Linked DNA regions of Arabidopsis thaliana. The protein of the gene in region 3 interacts with the protein of the main gene of each other region in a pairwise test. Each region holds a gene or a part of one and is shown on either strand. Other genes may lie near its edges.

What was found.
Region 1: the proteins of AT3G51180 (region 3) and AT5G64430 interact in a two-hybrid assay, tested with the Arabidopsis thaliana proteins (one large-scale study listed by BioGRID).
Region 2: the proteins of AT3G51180 (region 3) and AT1G09660 interact in a two-hybrid assay, tested with the Arabidopsis thaliana proteins (one large-scale study listed by BioGRID).

Annotation. Positions count from the first base shown.
Region 1 is NC_003076.8:25,762,804-25,766,561, forward strand, and holds the start of AT5G64430 (Octicosapeptide/Phox/Bem1p family protein), read right to left. Parts: upstream 1,618-3,758; 5' UTR 1,279-1,617; coding exon 1-1,278. Other genes in the region: FAAH (fatty acid amide hydrolase), read left to right, coding at 3,426-3,504, 3,597-3,706.
Region 2 is NC_003070.9:3,129,267-3,133,024, forward strand, and holds the start of AT1G09660 (RNA-binding KH domain-containing protein), read right to left. Parts: upstream 1,829-3,758; 5' UTR 1,608-1,828; exon of another isoform or gene 1,534-1,607; 5' UTR 1,526-1,533; coding exon 1,395-1,525; intron 920-1,394; coding exon 834-919; intron 163-833; coding exon 38-162; intron 1-37.
Region 3 is NC_003074.8:19,011,603-19,015,360, reverse strand, and holds the start of AT3G51180 (Zinc finger C-x8-C-x5-C-x3-H type family protein), read right to left. Parts: upstream 1,973-3,758; 5' UTR 1,642-1,972; coding exon 1,576-1,641; intron 995-1,575; coding exon 812-994; intron 719-811; coding exon 594-718; intron 511-593; coding exon 1-510. Other genes in the region: AT3G51171 (F-box and associated interaction domains-containing protein), read right to left, coding at 3,735-3,758.

The DNA.
Region 1 (3,758 bases), on a different chromosome or scaffold from region 3:
AGAGGTAAAAGGCTGAGGAGGAGGAGGTTGTTGTTGTTGTGCTGCTTTTGTTCCTATAGGTGCCTGAAGTGGCTGAGCCACGTTGTACGGTGATTGGTGTGGTTCTCTGTAAGTATCTGAAGCCACTCTCTGTACCTGAGGATAGTAGCCGCCTTGGTTTACTTGTCCTGTAAGTATTGGTCTGATGACACCTTGCGGTTGCGGTGGTGGTGGCGCGTGGTACACCGGAGATGGAGATGGAGATGGGATCATGTAAACTGGTTGCTCTGGTAATCCTAATCCATGTGTGGTTGTTGGAAATACGACTCCTGGATTGTGGTTTCCTTGCCAGAAAGTCGTCATCGGAGGAGCTTGCGGATTCGTTTGAGGAATCGTCTGCTGTGGCGGTGGTGGCGCAGGATTTTGTATGTACGGTGGAGAGAAGTATCCACCTCCGGTTTCTATTAAACCGTCTTCGTTACTCTTCCTTCTGTATACAGCTTCCTGTTGTTGTTGTTGTTCTTGATCCCTAATATGCATCCTCTGAAATTCCTGCATTTGTCTTTGAATTTCCATCGGATTTACGACGTGATCCGGTTGAATCACACGCGGATCGTTAAACAAAGGCGGTTCTAACGCCACAGGAACCGGTAATTTCACCTCAGCCGGTGGTGGCGGCGGCGGAGCTGCAACTTTCTCCGATCCAAACAAAAAATCCGCATTATTCGGAGGAGCAGTTACGGATTTCTCCGATTCAGATAGCCTAGGAACAGTGTTCAACGCCTCGACGAAGCGATCTCGATCCGATTGAGTCGAACTTTGAGAACCAAATCCAGAAGAAGCCGGGAAGAGAAACAAACGCATCCTCGCTGGCTTAGACGACAAACGAAGCAAGCGATCGTACTCGTGCATCATATGCTCCAGATCATCATCGTTCGTAACCGAGATCAAAGCGTCTAAGTCTTCTCCCGGAAGCTGATACTTAAACGTAACTTCTCCTCCGCCGCCATCACCGCCGCCGCATACGGTGGAGAGTTTGGAAGCTAAAACAGGGAATCTAATCCCGCGATCAACGGAAAGAATCTTCGTTTCTCCGTTTACGTAAGTGAGCTGATTATCGTGAGGCCGTGGCTGAATCTTGCCGCCATAGCTGCACATAAACTTCACCTTGTAGCTATGTTGCTGCTGGTTCTGGTTCTGATCATCCCATGGAGGCGGCGGGTTATCGAATTCGATCTCACGAGATCTCGGTGACGAGTCGGTTGAATCTGGATAAGAGTTGTACGAGAATTTCTCCATCTCTCCGCGAAAATTAAATGATTTTTTTTGTTGGTTTGGCTTAATTCATGAAGAGAAGAAATTAGAAAGAAATGAAGAAGACTGTTGTGATGAAATGGTTTTTATTATGTATCGGTGATGGTGGTGTTGGAAAATGAGTACGTGAACTTATTGCTCATTTACACGTGGCCTGTCAGATTTTATGAGTTTTAAGGCGGTGATGAGATTATGTGACGGTTCTGTGACGTTAGCTGAATCTCTCCATGGATTAATATGACTTTTGGGGACACTGTGAATGGGCCCAACACTAGTGTTTTGATACTTCGACGTTGAAAGAGGCCAGCTTTTAGCCTTTTACATGTTTTTTCTTAATATTTTGTTAAATCAACATTAGTGAAGCAATATTTTTAAGGTTAAGTGATAAATAAATAGTTAAGAAAAAGGGAAAAACAAAAGTCGTTGTCGTCGATCTTTCGCCTGATCAGGCTTAGATATGTTTTATGATTGTGTTATTGGATTTCTTTTGTGTATAACAAATATTTGAATGTTTGAATCATCATCATTCATCAACTGTATTACACATCCGAATAGTCTTTGGGTTAGTTCTAGAAGATAGATGTTTTTTAGTCTGTCAACATGCAGAAGAAAACTGTAAAAGGGTCAACAAAAAAAAATTGTTATGTTAAATTAACATCAAGAATATAAGATAATTTAAATTTGACACCGGTGAGTGTATACTCACTTTCTCGATTGTTTGCTATTATTATATACCTTAGATTATTGCCAACTTGCACCTTATTATAAACGGTGAAATTGTTGTAATTATTCAAACTTATAATAGACGTATTTCACTAGCATGCCGAAGGTGCAATCATGGTCGTACAAGAACAATATTTATATTGTCAAATTCACGTAACAATTTTTGTTGTTTTCCTTGTTTGTCGAAGACATGTGCATTGATTAGTATTTCTTCCAATATTATTTTGTGTTAGAACTTAGAAATGTTCATTATTTTCTCATCCTCTTAAATAATCCATATATATATGGACTAATCGGCCCGCCGTCCCGGTACGATGTTGCTCGATCAGTCATAAATCAAGTCGTGTCTCGTGGTTGTTTGTACTTGGCAGAGCAAGTCAATCAACCGAATTTTGGTAAAGATGCATCTTAGCCAAAACTTTTGATTTCACTAGATATACTAGAATTTAGCATTATACGAATGTCGACCATACTTTTTGATTACTTAAGAGCCTCTTATATAGTTAGTCCTATTATTGATAGTTTTCTTGTAGTAATATTTGAATATTATAACGAATCAAATTTTTCGAATCTAATAAGCACAAAAGAAAAATGGAATCGAATATTATTTTAAATGAAACTATGTACTAACATAAATCCAATTATGTTCAAATGAAACCAAATCAAATAAATGAAGTATTCCTAGCTTTGAATTAGTAAGTATCATATGAAATGGCTCCATATGGAAACCAAAAAATCCAACTGAATGCAAATGAAAGTGTTTTCACTACTTCATCGTAAATATAAAGAAATTGTTAGGTGTGATAATGAAAAACATTAGTTAACGGGCCAAAATTATATATTTACATAATAAAGGGGTAGTTTCATAAATTTGAGAACATGGTTGGAACATTTCAACAAATGAGACGAGTTCAATGTACACTTGAATTATGTACAAATCAGTACAAGAAGCTTAAGATTTGAAGCTAACATATAACATTCAAGTTCCCAACAACTTCACCGCTCATCTCCGCACGGCTTTCTTCATTTAGTAATCCTTCGCCGGATCGGATCATCGTTTCTCAGATTCCTCTTTTTAAGTTTCTTCTTTCAGGTTCGCAATCCGAATCTTCCACAACCATTGTTCGTTTCGCCTGTGATTCTGGTTTCTGAAATTTCTGCCTTGGCGTGGTTTCCTTGAATCTGATTACTTGGATTCTCCGATTCTCATAGTTCTTACCAGTTTTTGTTTTTTATTTCACTTAATTTGTTCTGATTCTGGATAACAGATTCTTATGATAAGGTGAAAGATACTAGAGATTCATCGGTTTTGTTTTGTTTTGGCAATTTTCTCAAGTGTTTGACTTATAGAACAGTGACGTGTGTGATCTATGATATCAATTCCAAACTTAATGATGTTTTGTTTGTAGATGGGTAAGTATCAGGTCATGAAACGTGCAAGTGAGGTTGATCTTTCTACTGTCAAATATAAAGCTGAAACCATGAAAGGTCTGGTTGGTTTTACAAATGCACATTAATTCTGTGGGTTTTCTGCATAGACATGAGAATGTGCCTTTTACATGGTTTTCTGTAATTTGCAGCTCCTCATTTGACTGGCCTTTCCTTCAAGTTGTTCGTTAATTTGCTTGAAGCACCACTTATAGGCTCTTTGATTGTTGATTATTTGAAGAAAGACAATGGCATGACAAAGGTCTAGTTTGTTCAAACTTGACTTATATCTTCCTCAGGGTTGTTGATGATCA
Region 2 (3,758 bases), on a different chromosome or scaffold from region 3:
ATCAGTTAATTGACTACAACTATCAGCAGTGGCTTACCTCGGCTTGCATCATCGACCATCCCTCTAAATCAAGCTTTCCATTTGTCGGCTGACCAAGCGATCTAAATGGACTGCCATGCTCATATCTATCAAGATCAGGAAAACTAGAGACCCTCCTGATTTCTGCACAGACGTCAGCAATGTTGGCAGTTAAGCAAACGTATAAAAGAAACTGTAAGAGTTATACATCAGGGGCATCTTCAGTCTCTTATCTTTAATGCCAATAATGAAACAAAAGGCTCGGGTTCTAATAGGTTAGAATGATGAAAACTTCAAACACATCTTTGTCTTTTAAGGTTCACACATCCCTTAAGGGCATGATGGACAACTAAAAGCTAGGTAAACAAGTCTGGAAACAAGCTTCTAATCACCATATGCATATTTACGGACAAATAGGCTTCCTAGTATAAATTAGTTGGTGATCATTTGCTTAACGATCATTATCATTTGCAAACACATAGACTTAATTCATTTTCACATAACATAACTCATCAAGGATGATCATTTAGCAATAAGTTGCAATTAAAAACTGTTTCTAAATGCTAAAAGTAACATAGACTTTGATTGGCTATATATATATTAAGAAGGCCATAACAAAGAGAATAAAAAGTTGCATGTAGATACATTTTTGTTACTCAACTATCCTTACCCAATTTCTGTAAACCTTTAACTGGAAAAAAGCCAGGGTGATGCGCACTAAGGCTTTGTTCACGTGGGAAATTTCTTAAGTTCGTGTGCACACACTCTAAGGAAATACTAAATTCAAAATCACATAGCTTAATAAGATAGCTCACCATGATTAAGCAGTCTGCAGCAATTTGGCATAACTTGCAAAAAGGGACCCAACTTTTGTCTCTCTTGCAATAATTCAGTCAAGTACCTGCACAAGGTTAAGAACAAAAAAAACTTAAGTTTCAGTGGATGTTGCGTGTGAATCGAGTGGGTGACATTGGAATCAGCACTCAGTCACATGTAAACTAAGCTTCTAAAAATACATCAGTACGTTCATTTCTAAAACATTGATAAAATATAGCTATCTTGTTAAAATCCTTAAGAGTACATTGTATAGAATCCAATAATAAGTGAGCTAATTGTGAAAAAGGCGACATGTTGAGGTGAGAGAGTATGATCGAGAATTTGGATCTGTGTAAGCAGTTCATGAAAATACAAACTTGACAGAATCATTTTTAAACACTGATCCAATCAAAGGCAACAATACCCACCAATCACAAAGAGACACACTTGAAGTTGTGCTAAAGCAACAAGTCCAGAAGAAGAAACGGGTCCACAACAATCAAGCTAACACAGATTCACAAATAGCAAAAAGGTTGAGAAAGAAGAGAGAAAATAGAAACCTTTCACGATCAGAGGGAGGACAAGGGGATCGATTAGGAGAAGCACGGAATCCAGAAAGAGGATACTGGAAGAAACTTCCAGGAGAGATCCTCTCTTCCATGGCCACGAAACCAGCGCCAGATTCCATCATCTTTAACACTGTAAATCCACTTAGAAAGTCAGATTGTGCATAAAGTAGAGATAAAGAAAAACAGAGAAAAACAAGTTGTGACCGGAGATAGTGAAGAGGAGAAGCGGCGGAGGATCTGACGCCGATCTCAAGGATGAGAAAGGTGTCTTGAAGTAGGTGTGGACTGTGTAGAGTGGCCACAGAGGAAGAAGAAGAAGTAGGCAAAGTAGGGAGGGAGTCAAAAGCCCTACTCACGATGAGAGACTCCTCCTCTCTCTCTCATCTCATTTTCGATATTTTCTATTTTTGTGTTTAGTTTTTTATTCTCTAGAGATTCTGTCATCTTCTTCTTAAAAGGTTCTTTGCGTTTTCATTATTATTGGGCTTCAGGTCACTAATAATGGGCCTACCTTCCCTCAGGGACATTGTAGCCTACTTCCAATCCGTGTAAACTAAAAAAATGAAGATGATGGATTCGAGCCCTTCCGAGGCAATATAACTATTCTTTAATGGGCTTAATTTTTTTTGTTTTGCTTTAGACAACAAAACACATTGGGCCGGGCCTGGTCTACCTAGTACCTTTCTTATGCATCTAATTCATTTGATCCTCAACATGCCAAATATTTATTATTTTATTTATCTCTACGAACTCTTGAAAGGTCATCATCATTCACTTGATTGCATTTGCCTATATTTTTAGTGGGAACGTAGTTAGTGATGTCCCCTGAGCGATGATGTCACCTCAGTGATGTAATGGATGATTTATTTTACTTAAAAATTCTAAAAAGTAAAAACAATGGACGAAAACAAGAATTCCGTCTATAGTGAATCAGTTAGAATATCTGAACGGTGATTTCCATGTTCCACTACTTTAATTTATTTTCTATAAATTATAATTACATTTTACACCAAACGCAGTTTACACACATACTGTATATGATAGATGCAGTCACATATACACTAAGGAAGCTAGTTACTCAAGCCGTGATTTATATACAACTTGGAAGCAAAGAAATAAGATGCTGCATAATTCACAACACATTTGCGCCTACTTCTATCTTCAAGATCCTTGATCGTCTTCCTTGTTTGTATCCTAAATCTTAGCTATTGTTCATGTAAATCATAATTTTCATTAATAGGATATTTACCTATTACTTAGCAACAAAAAAAAACGGCCGGGTTAAATGGTGTAGTTGGAAGTTGGCTACTATAAGAAATGGAAAAAATAATAAAACGCAACTTAATGAAGATTCTGCCGTTTTGCCAATGAGAAATAAAGAAGAAACAGCATAAATCTTTGTTCCCCTTTTTAATTCTTTATCCTAGGGTTCCCTTCTTTCTATGCTTTCTGTTTGTTAGCTGTTCTACACATGTATACTTTTAATTTGCAGCCAACATGAAACTTCTCCTTTGTCAGCACTCAGCCTTACGGAACAACATGTAACCCTAAACAAAATTCTACATGACCTAGGGGATTTGAAACATCCCAAGAAATTTCAGTATATTAGGTAAATGGTATTATTCTACTAGAATATATGTAGTATTTACTTTATCAAATGTATACATAAAAAGGTTTTCATTAACAATCACAGCCCAAAAAAAAAAAAAAAAAAAAAAATCCATTTCTTGGGATGTTTCAAATCCCCTAGGTCATGTAGAGTTTTGTTTAGGGGTACATGTTGTTCCGTAAGGCTGAGTGCTGACAAAGGAGAAGTTTCATGTTTGCTGCAAATTAAAAGTATACATGTTGTAGTACAACTACCAAAAAGAAAGACCTAAAACCAAAGAAGAAAACGGATAGAAGTTCGACATTGGGGAAAAATGTGGGTAGTAGCTAGTAGGTGGTGGTGAGAACAACAATGAGGATCCAGAGACAAGAAAAAACCAAGAAAAAAAGAAAAGTGAGGTCTGCTTCTGCTTTCTCTCTCCGCGCACGTGCGCCAAAAACGCTTTTCTACGATCTTGTATTAACTGTTTGGGATTGTGACTTTTCTTCCTCCTCTGTCCAATTTTTGGAATAATCAAATTCTGGGTCCGCCACTGCATTTACGCATGTTAACTCAAGAAAGTTAATGACAAAGTTCCTAACGACGCCTTCCCTCCAGTAATATCGATAAACCTAACATTAACAATGTACCTAAACCCTCCCAAATCCCAATATCATATACTATAAATTAAGCTCTTGCTAAACATCTTAGTAACCATTGTTCCATATTACATTACAAAACTTGTCTTCTGTCCAAACAAAATTGTA
Region 3 (3,758 bases):
ACTGCAACACTGTGTTCTTGAGGTATTATCACTGGCTGCGGCTTTCTAGCCATGGGTGAGGCGGTGACAGCACTGACAGGCTGCGGAACAGGTCTAGTAGCAGAGTTGATGTTAGTGACAATGGGCTGATTCTTAGTTTCAGAGGATTTACCTGATGTGTCAGTGATAAGATTCTTGATTAATTTTGGGTCGCTGAGGAACTTGATAAGTAGCTCAGTATCGACCAAACTCCCTTGTTCCTTGGTTTTCATCAGTGCAGTCAGAGCTGCAGAAGCAGCCAGACTCAAGTCTGGTGCAAGACCAGTAAGACCAGAAACCTGTTCTTGGGTTGAACATAGAGGTTTGGTCTCCAACTGACCCTGCTTGTTTGCGGTAACACCTGATTCAACCTTACTGTTGGATGACTCCTCTGAAGAAGATTCACTCTCGTCTTCAATAGGAGTGAGACGAATGGCAGGAGTTTTGCTGTCATCAAAGCATTCAGCTTCCACAGCCGGTGAAACAGAGGGTCTACATGAAAACAGAATGCAATCAGCAGGCTAACTAACACACCAACACAATGTTGAATAACCTAAGAGAAGAAGGTAAAATACCGAGAAGGGATGGCAGAGCGATGAGGATAGATAGCTTCCAGCACTTTTGAAATCCTCAAGTTTTCATTTTGCCATTCTGAGCTCCCGCCACCACATCCAACCAGCCAAGTATCATTGACAGAGAACTGCATTGTCCAAGACACATAATATTAATATCAGATATGATAAAAAAAGATTCAAAAGGGATTCACCAATTCTTTACAGTATAAAAAATATACCTTGGGAGGAGGTCGTTTCCATTTGATGCGAGGAATGTTTGAAACATTAGGCTTAACTGCATAGTGATTTCCTTCAAAACCAGGTGGAAGATCTGGCCCTCGAGGTTTCCTAGATGGGTAGCTATGACGTTGAGGCTGAGAGGCTACATTGGCAGGACTGTCCTCTGTTCGAAAAACCTTAACCTGTTCAAAATCCGCATAGTTAGAAGCTAACCAAAGCTGACTTTTTCGTGTATCAAAACTATGTAACTAAACCAATAAGGCTTCCCAAGTCTATCTGTAAAAAGATTGTAAATTTGTAGTTGCAGAGTATTGGATTGATGCATTCAAACTTCAAAACTTGATCATATCTTGTTTCAATCTAAATCTAACTGTATGTTGATTCAAATTTCCAAATCCAAAACCTTGAATATATCTTTGTTGATTCAAATCAATTTCATGTAAACTATATGAGCTAAAACGTTATCTTCAAAGATAGAAAAATCAAAGCCTTCTACATACCAAAAGAGCCGTCAAAGTAACAACAAACAAGACTTGGTTTCTTCACCATTTTTCGATTGGATATTGAAATTAAATAATTCAGCGATTCAAGATCGTATCAATCAATTCGTTGGGTTTAAAGGAAAACTTCAAAATCGAAATTTTAGGATCCAGAAATTAGGTTAATTGTTATAATCGAGAGTTTAGATTTGGTGAGATGGATCAATCAATTTGGGATTAGAAAGTGGATAAGAAAACATGGAACATATAAGGATTAATTATACCTGACAAAGCTTAGGACCTGGTGGCCATGAAACTCTGGGTTTCTTCGATCTCTTCATATTATTCATATAAATCTCAAAGAAACAAACCAGTGAAAACAAAATTCGATTCTTTTTGATTCAACCGGTGATCGTTTTTTTATCAGATTCAGATCAAATATGAATTTTTTCTGCTAGATCTACAGATTTCTTAACGAAGCAAATTGAGATTCGAAGGATTTTGATTAGGGAATTGGTCAATACGATGGATGAGTCAGAGATCGGAGAGAGAAAACGGAAACAAGAAAGAGACGTCGGCGGAAGGATTTGGGTGATGATGATGATTGATTGATTGATGAGAAAACCCTAACAACTGTCTCTTCTATTTTCTTTTTCTTTTTAGTACACGGTGGATTTTGTTAGGACGTTCCTTTAGAGACTGTATTTATATATAACGGAAGCAGTTATTTATTTATTTAATTTCGTGTAATTCTCAGGTCTCAGCTAACTCCAAATTATAATTGGATTCCTAATTTATATTTATTTATTAACTCAATTGGATTCCTACTTATTTTAAAAAATTAAATAAGATTTTTTCCTTATTTTTGGCTATTTATTTTTTATTAAAATGGAAAACCAAATTGGCATTACAGATAAAACAAAGTCCTACATTTACAACTTAAAATTGAAATTAAGCCCACTTACTCTAAATCCAACTTTTTAAAAAAAATAAGAGTTAAAAATGCCACTTGTGAAAAAGTATCCACACGTGAGAAGGATGAGTATTGACACGATCTTTATCAGCCATATCTAACGATATGGTTCAGCTTTGTCGCTGGACTTTAGATCCATCATCGCTAGCTCCTTCTATAGGTTTACCGCCGCCGGCCTGCCAAATTTTGCTGTACGTTCTTATAATTCTGGCCATGACTCCAACGAATCTTTAGATCTCAATTCAAAAATTCTTCAAAAAAAGCTCCACCTCAAAACCTTAAAAGGTCCACTTCATACCAGTCTTCATACCAGTCGGTAGTAAGTTACAAGGATATTAGTCCTTTAGAAGAGCCAAGCCGACAGTAAATCATACATAATCTAAACAAGATTTAATTTTAAGTCATGTAGAAAGAGAAAACACAAAAATCCAGCACTTAGACAAAACTAAGTTTGGAATATTTTAATCCGACCAAAACACCGGCTACGCCTGAGTTGAAAGCCGACATTAAATTGGAAAAACAACAACTAGTCCGACTAGAAAATTAGAAGACGAAAAGATAAAATTGACATTTTTCTTTTTGAAAGGTTCAAGAAAGTTAGGAGACGAAAATTGGCACTTTGATTTAGGCTTCGCATTGGAAGAGTTGACGAATATTCCGGTTGGTAGGAGACGGAGATATCATGACGATGTGACGATAATGGTAATCACTCTAAGTAACGATCAACGCAAAGGCTTCTACGACTACGATCGTGTGATTTTGATTATGATGGCGACAAATGTTGGATTGGTAAAACTGTAATGAGTCATACTGATTTCTTTTAGACTTTGGAACTGATCACTATTTTGCTGGGTATTATTTCAGTGCACAGTACATATATTATATCATTGTAGTGGTCGTAGAGCCTAGATTTCATCCGTTTGTCAAAGCTTTAGTCACATGTTCTGTTATTTTTTTGGGCATTTTGGGTGTTTATCCGGTTTGGTTTGTTGTTTTGGATTGTAAGTTGTAACATTGACTGAACCGGTTTTGTCAATTGGTTTAAACTACTAGTGAAATAAAATAAATGTTGATTTGAGAGCTTTAATAAATAAAGCATCTTATTATTATATTCAGAACTTTTACATTAAAGGAAGGGGGATAAAATTGGGAGCATAAACACAGCTATAACAACAGAAAACCATGGTGTCAATTACAAACTTCTTGAGCAAATCTCCCCTGACAATATAGATGCAAGCCGCATAAGTGTTCTCGTCAGCACAATAAATGATGAAGGTGGTCTTGTCATAGATGAAGTAACTAATGCCATAACACTCGATAAATAAGTTTGGCAAGTTATTTGGTAGCAACGTCAACAAGTGAATCCACACAACTTCGTCTGATCCATTGTTGTTACTAGTATCAATCTTATTCTTCGTAACCCAAATCTCAACCTTCCTTGTCTTATAACATTGCTTTAACAAGGATAACCTATCTCCCCTGAAAACTTACAAG